Linked DNA regions of Saccharomyces cerevisiae S288C. Changing the gene in region 2 together with the main gene of any one other region gives a genetic interaction. Each region holds a gene or a part of one and is shown on either strand. Other genes may lie near its edges.

What was found. A genetic interaction does not mean that the proteins touch.
Region 1: of ATG2 (region 2) and ATG15, changing one suppresses a phenotype caused by changing the other (phenotypic suppression), as found in Saccharomyces cerevisiae (one study listed by BioGRID).

What each region holds. Positions count from the first base shown.
Region 1 is NC_001135.5:235,201-239,321, forward strand, and holds ATG15 (triglyceride lipase ATG15), read left to right. Parts: upstream 1-2,013; coding exon 2,014-3,576; downstream 3,577-4,121. Other genes in the region: GTPase-activating protein SED4, read right to left, coding at 1-1,122; peptidylprolyl isomerase family protein CPR4, read left to right, coding at 3,855-4,121. UniProt on the Saccharomyces cerevisiae protein: Lipase which is essential for lysis of subvacuolar cytoplasm to vacuole targeted bodies and intravacuolar autophagic bodies. Involved in the lysis of intravacuolar multivesicular body (MVB) vesicles.
Region 2 is NC_001146.8:189,587-196,833, reverse strand, and holds ATG2 (Atg2p), read right to left. Parts: upstream 5,511-7,247; coding exon 732-5,510; downstream 1-731. Other genes in the region: ZWF1 (glucose-6-phosphate dehydrogenase), read left to right, coding at 1-408; SLA2 (Sla2p), read right to left, coding at 5,877-7,247. UniProt on the Saccharomyces cerevisiae protein: Lipid transfer protein required for autophagosome completion and peroxisome degradation. Tethers the edge of the isolation membrane (IM) to the endoplasmic reticulum (ER) and mediates direct lipid transfer from ER to IM for IM expansion.

The DNA of each region.
Region 1 (4,121 bases), on a different chromosome or scaffold from region 2:
GTAAATAAAGCCGTGCACATTATGTTTGTAGCCTAGTTGAATAGCGCCAGCCAAAACCACTAACAAAACAAAATTCAAGAAAAATTTCCAAATATTTCGTAAAATTGATGACGATGTACCGGAAAGCTTCAGAACGTTGATCGTGTTCCCCATAGAAGTGCTTGCCAAATATCTAGAATCTGGAGAAAAAGTAACTTTTGTTATAGTAGATTCATGTACTCTTGGAACCAACTGAACAAGCTTTAGCTTTTCAACGCTGACGATGGCAACCAAGTTATCGTTAGATGATAATGCAACGAACTTCTTATTTGGGGAGACATCCATCGATGTTATTCCATTCAAATCGAACATGAAGGATGCTGTTTTTAAAATTTTAACACCTTTGGAACTCACACCTAGTTTTAACAAGGAAACTCCATCAGAGTTCGATAATGATGCTGCCACTAATAGCGTATTGTCATTGAGAAACCTGATATTAGAAAGAACAAGATTTTTATCAAAATCCGTTTTCCTTGCTACAAAATTTCCGTCCCTAACAGACGCTACTTCCAAAGAATTAGAAGTGATATATGACAAAAGAATACCGTTAGGGGCGAAGTGCAAATCATTAACTTCCCTACCCGTTTCAATTTCGTAATTTTCCGTCAAATTACGCGGGTCAATGATTCTTATCACAGTGGGCACTTCAGAGGACGCAATTGCAGCTACTGTGGCCCTTTGATTAATGTAAACAAACTTAGTGAAAACGGATGGGTCTGTAGTTCTGTTGAAATCAATACTGGCCACGAATTTTAGATGTTCTTGTTCAAACACAAACTTCCTCAAGTGGTGGTTAACGTTCTCCATGGAGGAATCATTAAACAGTTCATTGCAACCAACTAGAATCAGGTTATTATTACAATCCAATGAAGTGGGCGCATCGTCAATCGAATCTAATGTGATCTCACGAAACCTTCTAATGTGTTTCTTTTTCTGGAAGTTCACCTTTAAAGCTGTAATTTTGTTTGGAAACGAGGAATTGAACTGGCCTCCACCACCAGCCACCAGTAGAGTGCCTTCATTTATAAATTTAGCACCATATATCGGATATCCGACGTCATAGTTTGCAGAGTTGCCACTCATTATTATGCTAGTTTTTCTAAGTTTAAAAGGAGAGAAAAAAAAGGAAGAGAGGACGTATCGTAGGGAATTGTGATGCTTGTTGACAAACAGCCTCCGTCGATCGAAGCAGCTATAAGCGTAGGTTACTTGAAGCGTTCACAGTTCTCATTTACACTGTACAATTCTCGAGATATAAATGAAAATTACTACAACCAAGAAAAAAGGACAGGAGGGCTAAAAGGATAATAAAATAGGGCAGTTACAAATGTGGTCAAAAATACTAGGGCTCAAAATTGCTAAGTAAGGGCTTGACAGATGTAACATAATACGAAATAAACTGGATATCGTTTAATAATTATCAAGGTGATTTAAATCGTAAATACATAGGCTGGGCCATATACACTAACATGTGTCGTGACCAATGTGCAGCAGATAGACTTGCTCATTAAATATATTCCAGGTAGGATTCTCTAAGGGTTTTTTTTTTTCTCTATAGCTGTCACTTTTTTTTTTTTCTCTTATCAATCACAGATATAATAAGCATAACATCGGAAAGAAAATAATGATAGGGCAAAAGGGAAAGCATTTCCAGTTGAATACAGTATCTCTACTATATTGTTGTTCGCTGAAGACAGCCGTTTCCGGAAAAAAGTGATTGTGTGATCGCAGTTACCCGCACCTTTGTTCAACAGTACATAATAAGAATCTGTAGATATAGATGAACTTTCTCTATTACATAAGACTAGCCTAAAAGCCTTGTTTCTATCATTTAAAGGCTTTTGAGACACTCAAATCAGTGTCAACCTTTTGGATAAGTCAAAGAAAGTACGCCGCTGCTCAGAAAATTGTTATCGTGATTGAGAACTGATCTAGGCATTACAATTAAAGGAAACAAGGGAAATATTCTATTGAATGTTGCATAAAAGCCCTTCAAGAAAGAGATTTGCTTCTCCTTTGCATCTAGGATGCATTCTAACGCTTACAGTGCTCTGCCTTATTGCTTACTACTTTGCTTTACCGGATTATTTATCGGTAGGGAAGAGCTCATCCAGGGGTGCCATGGATCAAAAATCTGATGGAACCTTTAGACTTAAGTCTATCTACAGGCATGGCGTCGGAGCAAACCATCGGCTACACCAGAGGCTGGAGGTCACTCCAGAAGTTATTTCTGCCGCTGGAATGCTGTATCAAGAAACCACAACTCAAGGACAGGATTTCGAAGACCAAGAACCCCTATGGACTACTAATGCCGAATATGCCACCACTAACCCATTCGATTTTGAGTTTGAGCTACGAAGGATGCCGCTATTGATGAAGCGGATGAAGGAAAGAGATCCTGAATTCATAGAGTCGTACATTTACGGAGAAACATACATGACGGAGGAGGAAGAACACGCCATGTGGATAGATGATGACATTGTGGCACCCAATATCACAGATAGAGGTACAGTAGTGTCGTTAGCATTAATGTCGTCTAATGCTTACGTGAGAATACCGCAAACGGGAGACTGGCGTAACGTCACGGAGCCGTGGAATGAAACAGAGCCGGAAGATTTTGGTTGGGATGGTGATGGTATACGTGGTCACGTCTTTTACAATGAAGTGGAGAATATCGTGGTACTCTCGATAAAGGGAACCAGCGCTCAGGGTTTGCCAGGGTCTGGCGAAGATGAGACAACTGGAAACGACAAGATCAACGATAATTTGTTATTTTCGTGTTGTTGTGCAAGAGTGAGCTACCTGTGGACTACCGTGTGCGATTGCTATGTGAAGTCGTATATATGCGATGAGTCTTGCCTGGAAAAGGAACTGAGACGTAAGGATAGATTTTACTCTGCAGTCGTTGACATATACAAAGGCGTCCTCAAAGAATACCCCGATGCGGCCATATGGGTCACAGGCCACTCACTGGGAGGCGCATTGGCCAGTTTACTGGGCCGCACTTTTGGATTGCCTGCGGTCGCATTCGAGTCCCCTGGAGAGCTACTACCTTCAAAAAGACTTCACTTACCATTCCCACCGGGACTTCCCTCATACATGGAGGGTATCTGGCACTTCGGTCACAACGCAGACCCAATCTTCATGGGTACATGCAACGGAGCTAGTTCAAGTTGCTCACTGGTGGGCTACGCTATGGAAACCGCGTGCCACACTGGTAGAGTCTGTGTCTACGATGTGGTCAACGACAAGGGCTGGAGTGTAAACATGTTCAACCACAGAATCCACAAAGTCATTGACGAAGTTCTCCTTGGATACGAGCAGGCTGCCAAGTGCGTTGAACCAGAGCCCTGCGTAGATTGCTACAACTGGAAGTTTATTCCAAGCAGAGACTGGGAATCCTCATCGAGGCTCATTACCAAGACTAAAAGCCACGCTGCACCAACCACGACGACTCGCACCACTGCTACTACTACCTCTTCATCTACCTGTGTAGGCCGCAATTGGCTTGGCTTCTGCACCAAATACGAGTTGTAAGACCCATACATCTATTATGACCCTAGTGTTGTTTTAGGGCCTATGCGCCCTTTTTTTCTTCCATTGTCTGATAAATAATGTATCATTTTGACAACTTAAAGGTTCAGCTAAACGACACGAGAAGATATATTAATACTGCTTTAAAGTGAAAGGCGTCAGTCAGGTGCAATTAATAGGTCACATATTCTTTGCTTCAATTGCTCTCTAGCAAACTCACACACTCGTAGATTGGAAGACCGAAGAAAATAGATAGACTTTCGAATAAGTTCAGCAACAACATGTGGTTGAAATCCTTGCTGCTCTGCCTGTACTCCTTAGTACTCTGCCAAGTCCACGCTGCACCTTCATCAGGGAAGCAGATTACCTCCAAGGATGTTGATCTTCAGAAAAAATATGAGCCCAGTCCCCCCGCCACACATCGTGGAATAATCACTATCGAATACTTTGATCCCGTTTCGAAGTCGATGAAAGAGGCGGATCTGACTTTTGAGTTGTACGGTACTGTCGTGCCCAAAACTGTGAACAACTTTGCTATGCTGGCCCAT
Region 2 (7,247 bases):
GAACTGGTCATCAGAGTGCAGCCCGATGCCGCTGTGTACCTAAAGTTTAATGCTAAGACCCCTGGTCTGTCAAATGCTACCCAAGTCACAGATCTGAATCTAACTTACGCAAGCAGGTACCAAGACTTTTGGATTCCAGAGGCTTACGAGGTGTTGATAAGAGACGCCCTACTGGGTGACCATTCCAACTTTGTCAGAGATGACGAATTGGATATCAGTTGGGGCATATTCACCCCATTACTGAAGCACATAGAGCGTCCGGACGGTCCAACACCGGAAATTTACCCCTACGGATCAAGAGGTCCAAAGGGATTGAAGGAATATATGCAAAAACACAAGTATGTTATGCCCGAAAAGCACCCTTACGCTTGGCCCGTGACTAAGCCAGAAGATACGAAGGATAATTAGAAAAATGCAAGCACATTCATTTATCGGCTAAGTCACTGAAATTTTTTTTTTCGAGTGATTTTATCTTGCAAGCTCACTCTCTTTGTTCTTTTCTCCTCTATAATGGCATCTTCCCCCCACCAACTCCTCTCTACTTGCGTGTGTATTTGTTTGTATACATGTGTAAATATATATACATAAAAGAATGTCGTCTCATGTATTTTTTAACTTTTAGCCGCGGTCAGTGACATTTTGGCTTTCCCACCATTCCACGTCTGAAAAAAAAAAAAAAAAAAGAGATAAAATATGAATTGAATATATATCAAAAATGTCTGCAAAAATTTTTACGAATCAGTCCGATTGGACTTGTACTTATCATTGATTTGCTCGTTATGCGTCTTATCCACTTGATTAGCTATTCCCTGTAAAGTCTTAGACACTGCCTCAGTGGCCCCAATTAACGGCCGAATAATTGCCACAGGTGCAGCTCTAGCAACATAAACTGCTGCGGCGCTCGGCCCTCCCCGTTTATCATCCTTCATCTGTCCCTTTGCCCTCCATACCGCATCGTACGCAATATGCATATGCTTTTCTAATGAACTATACGCCTCCTTCAAACCCGTGGGCAGGTCGAGGGGCTGATCTGCGTACAGACTCACTATTGTGGGTTCGTTGTGATCTCCCGGTGAAGACATATCGATGACTACTGCCGTGGGCTCATGATCTCTTATCCTGGAATATTTACTACCAACTAACTGATCCTCCTCGAATAAAGTATCCAAGTCTAATACAGCTGCAGTATCACTGTCTGCACCATCAGCGGAGCCAAATTTCGATGCATCGTACACCCTGCCATTGGAACCAACACCACCGAATAGTTCCTCGGTGTTCTCCAATATCGCCTGTGTCCCTGAAGTTAATTTAACTCCCAATTTCACAAAATCTCCCGTTGTCGTTTTCAAGAAGACATTGCCACCCTTTTTCAGACTCCTTCCCAAATGCCCTTCTTGCCTGTATTCTGACATTAGTACTGTGACTAGGGTCTTCACCCCTGACCCAATCGCCATAAACGATCTGACAGGAGCCAGTCCTTCCAAAACGCCAGGCAGCTGCTTTTTGGTAATATCCGGCGTCCAAATGGCTTTCAGTTTATTATTTAATTCATCGAATCCATTTAATCCATACAGGACTACGCTTTTCAAAATAATCTTGGATCCATCAAGGGTAAAAAAATTCATCAATTCAGAAGTTTGGCCCGATCTTAAACCCGCATAATCAACTTTTTTCGGCTTATAATCTAATCTTAACTTAATTGAATTAGTGCTAAATTTTTGAATAAATACAATATCTGGATACTCATCAATTAATTCAAATCTTTTATCTTTGAACCCTAAGAACCTTATTAGAAACTCTAAAGTGTCTTGATCCACGTGAAGGCGTAAAGGCGCAACATTTAATTGCATGACTAATTCCACTGCTTGCAAAAAGTCGATCGGCCGGATAAATTCCAGGTCCAGAAGAAACATCGGAGAACTGTGTGGCCACGGTTCGTGCTTTAGCAAAGTTACAAATTTATTCCAGGTGGACGTGGGAACATTATCGATAATTTCAAATTCGTAAATGGAAACTACACATCGGTTCAAAACATCTGTGGAATTATCAGAGTTAGACTCATCGGGTTCATCTACTCGATAATTCTTCAAATTGACATGTACTTTGTTCAATTGAATCAGGGCTTTGTAATGCTTAGAAGGTCGCAAATTAACTTTAGAGACATCAGAGAAGGAATTCTGAACCCCCTGGATCTCACCATCAAGATTTCTTCTCAAATCTGTGACATTGTTTTTGTTAGCAGATATATAAATAGAGTCAAAAATATTTGCCTCTGATTGGGGTACATTTGATTTCGAACTGCTTGCTTCCGCTTTACTGAGCTCTTTATCCAGTTTTTCAACAGTATTAGCGATAAATTTCCGCGTATATTTCCAATCATACCCATCGAATAGTTTTATAACAACTTTTTCGACATCTATACTACCCCTTATATCCACATCCCTTTCTTGCTCTTTTGAGGCGATTGGTGGAGTATCTTCTTCTTTTGGCTGAGCAGAGTCTAGATAACTCTCATGGGGAAGTAAAATACCACCTGTGGCAGTTCCAGAGGAACTGTCCATTTCATATGAACCTTGAGAGGATAGTTTACTTCTGGCACCATTGTTGAACTCGTGAGTTTTGTCGAGAAAACTGTCTACCAAATGCACTGAGTCGTAATCATTTTGATGATTGTTCTCCCGGATGAAGGCAGAATTGAAAAGATCACAATCGATGTCTTTGAATACATCGATAGGATTTTTCAACTGCGTTCTAAATTTTTCCTCATCAGGAAACGTCTGAGGATATTTTAAATCAATACAAAGCTGACAAAAAGTTTGAAAAGAATCCGCGCATAATGAAAGACCAACTTGTTCTATTTTACAATCCAATAAAAGGGCACCATCGGATTTGTTTATTAAAAAATTCAAAGTATCTATTTTACCGATTGCAGAGAAACCTTGACCAGCATAAAAATTTATCAAACTAGGCCAGTTCTTATCTTTTTGAATTTTGAAATTCTGATAGTCATCTATTAGGAAGAGTGTATTCGCCTTTGAAAGAAGCTTTGCCTGCGGAATAAATGAACTTCCACCAGTTGTTAGATTGTCAAGTACAATGACCATTACACTTTTTAATCTGAAAGGGTGCAGAATTAGAGAGCAGTCCAGACATTTGAGTTCCCAGGGAAATCCTGAAGTCGGTTGTTTTTTACTAAGCTTTTGTGAAACAGGTTCATCTTTTGAACTGGCATTATCCGGGCCGATGTTTTTCTTTAGTATTTCTAACCACCTTGCATAGTAATGTATGCGAATGTTGTTAAAAATGACTTTTAACTTTCCATTCGCCCTTCTATGAACATATAGTACAGGTTCGTTAACTGCTTTATTCAAAACTACTGACATGATTTCTTGTGGCTCTAATAATGACGGTGTCTTTCTTTCTACCTTTAAGTTCTTTGTAAAATATACAATTTGAGAGTCATCCGTAATCGCAAAGAAATTATTTGATAGTAATGCTTCCACAGAACCAAATTGCGGCCCTATAATTTCTGATACTTTTAACTTCATGGAATCTATCTTGAGAGAAAAATTAGCGGATAAACTCTGCTTGTAAACGAACCTGGAAGAATTAAGTACTCTGACACTTCTCTGCAAAAAGGAGCCTCTCTTGCTTTTAGACTTTCCTGTACATTCACTGTTCTTTGAATCCGTGAAAAGTTTTCCAAACGCAGAAATATCTTCGACTAATTGTACTATTCCAGAATATTCTTCGTTAAATATCACTTCTTTGATGATTGCATGGACAGAACTATAAATTAGCGCTTCTTTCAAAGTATCGTCATATGAACCCAGTTGTAGAGGGGATTGCAAGTTCGAGATCGTAATGCTCGACATTGTCAATATTTTCGTGCACCGAGAAGGTAGTTTTTTAAATACGTCTACAAGCTCAATGTACAACTCACGGTTAGAGTCGTAAATGAAGGGTGAAACCTGGAAACATAATAAAAAATATGGAAACTTAAGCGACAACTTCACTGCTTTTGAGGTAAGTTGTACGGTCCTTTTAGTATCCGATGCTATTTGAGGCATCATCCCTTTTGACTTATTCTGATAAAAGGACATACATTTTGAAACAAACTGAAAGATTTTAAAGAAATGCGCAATGCCATCATGACTGATAATAATATCTAGTTCGTCGCCCATATTTAATGCGATGCTTTGAGGGGTTTGTTCTCCAGTGAGCAATGGCTTAGTTTTATGGCTAATTGTCAATGGACTCGAATTAGAATAAAATGAGCCTAAAGAAAATGCCAATGAATTATTTTCCTTTTGCTCTAATTTAAAGCTCTTCAAAATTACTGTGATATCTTGGCCTAAGTTTAAGTATATACATTTGATATCAACAGAAGAAAGAGCTGATGGTTCCTGCTTGTCAGGTGAAGGACTTTGGGAATCCTGGCAAGAAAAGCTTTCATTGGCATCCAAATGTGTAACAATGATATCTATAATATTCTTCAAAGTGGAGTTTTTGATTTCGACAATTTTGTGTATCGCTAAATGAACATCCTGAATATCAATAACAATATTAGACATTCTGAGATCATTGACCGATGATAAACCCTTAAAAGCTATGTTCAAATTATTTATTTCCATTAAAGATTCCTTGCACTTATCATTCTCTTGTTCTTCTTGTGTAACTTGGGGTTCACTGGGGTCTTCATTTGATTGCTCTTCCATGGCGCTCATATAAAGTGAAGTAGCCTCCATTTTTGATAAATAAACGCTTTGTGACAGATCGTCATTATTGAAAGGATGCACAGGAGAGTCGGGTACAGCTTGTTTTTGTATTGAGGAAATGGTGATATTTTCAATGTTTATATGTCGTAAATTTGCGTCTGTAGTAATAAGTTGTATGCTTTCTAGATGAACCTCCACAATGTTATCGGAAGGATCTCTATCATTCACTATGAAACGTATGGTAACGTCCTTTAATGCTATTTTCAATTTCGCTAAGGCTACATTAAGGGCCTTGTTCCGCATATTTTGAAGAGTATAAGAACCATTTGCGGCTGGTTTTGAAGCTTCTATATTAGAGTTGAGATCACTACTACTGTCTGAAGAGCTAATGTCATCTTCTTTGTACCTATTATATGTGGTCAATGGATCACTAAATTGTAACATCGAATTCGTAAGATCTTGGATGCTTTTAACCAAAAAATCTGAGTGAAGTTCCTGTGAGCCACTGGAATATAAAGGTGTCATGATAAATCTTAAACCAGACCCATCGATTTCCACACCGCCAGAAACTGTTAATTTTAACACAAGCTCGTCAACTATGCCTTCGTTTATTTGCACGTTTGGAATGTTGAGATCATCAAGTGACAGATTCACATCATGGAACGAGAAATGTGACTTAGACCCTATAGAAACGTCCAAGTTAGATAAATCTATATTGGAGAACAGCGAAATTTGCTGAAGGACGTAAAGAAGCAGCCGCTTTTGTATATTTTGAGGTAACCAAAATGCCATTGTATCGAAATCAAAAAAAAAAAGGGTTCCTCTTAATTTGCTTTAATCTTTATGCTTTCCTTATTTTAAACGGCAGTAGAAATTTTGTATGAATGGTGAGTTGAAATAAAGTCGCAAAGATTACAATAGAAGCAAAATGGTAGACTCCTACAGAGATGTGATATGATAATAAGGGTGGGGTGTCTGTTCTTTGTTCCTTGCATATTCATTATCGCGATTATTTCCATTCGCCGCACCAAAAAAAGAAAAAATGTCCCCGGACGAGAACGCATATACCAATCAGATACAGAAAAACGTAAAAGACGTCTTCAAATAAATATATTTATATTAACGTTTATCTTTATATATAAAAAGTACAATTCATGATCAATCATCATCCTGGTTATAGTAGGCATGCCTTCTTATCTCGCCCAATCTCTTCCTGGCATTGCTCAAGGATTGTTCTAACTTCAAAATTTCCACTTGCTGTTCCATTTCGGCAGTCTTCAATGTGTGTTCGGATGTGAAGTCCAATGGTTGCTGCTGTTGCGAAGTCGAATGATCATCTTCAATCATACCCATGACGTGGTTACCCAAACTTCTGCATGCATCGGTAACATCTTTGGAACAGTGTTCCAATTTATCTTGGGCCTTCGAGTGGATGGAAGTTTTCACTCTCGATGCTGCTACCAATTGTATTGTGGATGCGGCCACTTCTTTGGAGGCGACGATAAATTGTTCAGGTGATGTGTTTTCATTGTCTTCAGAAGTGATTAACTTACTAGCAGTAGTGATTAAAACATTGGTTGCACCTGCCACAGCCTTTGCCGCGGAGATCAAACCTTCTGTCCATCTGCTGTTTTTCAAGTAGAATTGGTTCAGAGGAATACTTGTCGTGGTGGCAATTTCATTTTGGCACTGAATAGCAGCCTTTACCAAAGCCACAACAGCATCAATAATCATTAATGCCAATGACAACAATGGTTTAGGAACGTCAACACGTAAGTGTTCTGAGGATTTGACAATTTTGTCAGCAGTGGCAACCAATTCAGAATGTGGGTTCGTTTCTTTATTTGATTTGACAGATTGTATGTTCAATAACGGTTCGATAGCCAAAGATAGCTCTTGCAACTTCTCTTGCATGTCCACGTTGGCATTGATGACGATATCAGTTTTCTCCTCATCACCGACCTGGTTAAGATTTTCAGACATCAAATCCTCGAAGAAATATTGGGCCTCTCTGGCACATCTCTTCACCAGGGTCAAAATTTGATCAGACTGTTCTTGAGGTAATGTAGTAACGGCGTACGCCTTTGAATTGGTCACCAGTGTAGCCATCGAAGTACTGAAATCACTAACGCAGTGTATGACCTCTGTTTGGTCGCCGTGTGCAAGGCCGTCTACTATCAAATTATTGAAACTGGTGGCAAACTCAGTGGCGTTTTCAGAAGTACTTTCCAATAAGGACAAAAGGAAAGTGGGTGGAGTCAGCGGACCCGACCAACTCAAAGGAGAATCGAGATTATAGACCGATTCCTGGATGGTGTTGATACCGCTTTCCAATATGGCATCCAGAATAGGGTTCATTTTATCCTGAGTCATTGTTTCTGCTGCTGCTGTCGCCGCTGCACTGTCCGCCTCTGCATTATTAATGGATCTTTCTAATTCTAACCTTGCCCTGTCACGGTCCTTAACCAACTCGGCCATTTGCAAATCCTTTTGCTTCAATTTGTGTTCTAACTGTTCCTTTTTCTGAAT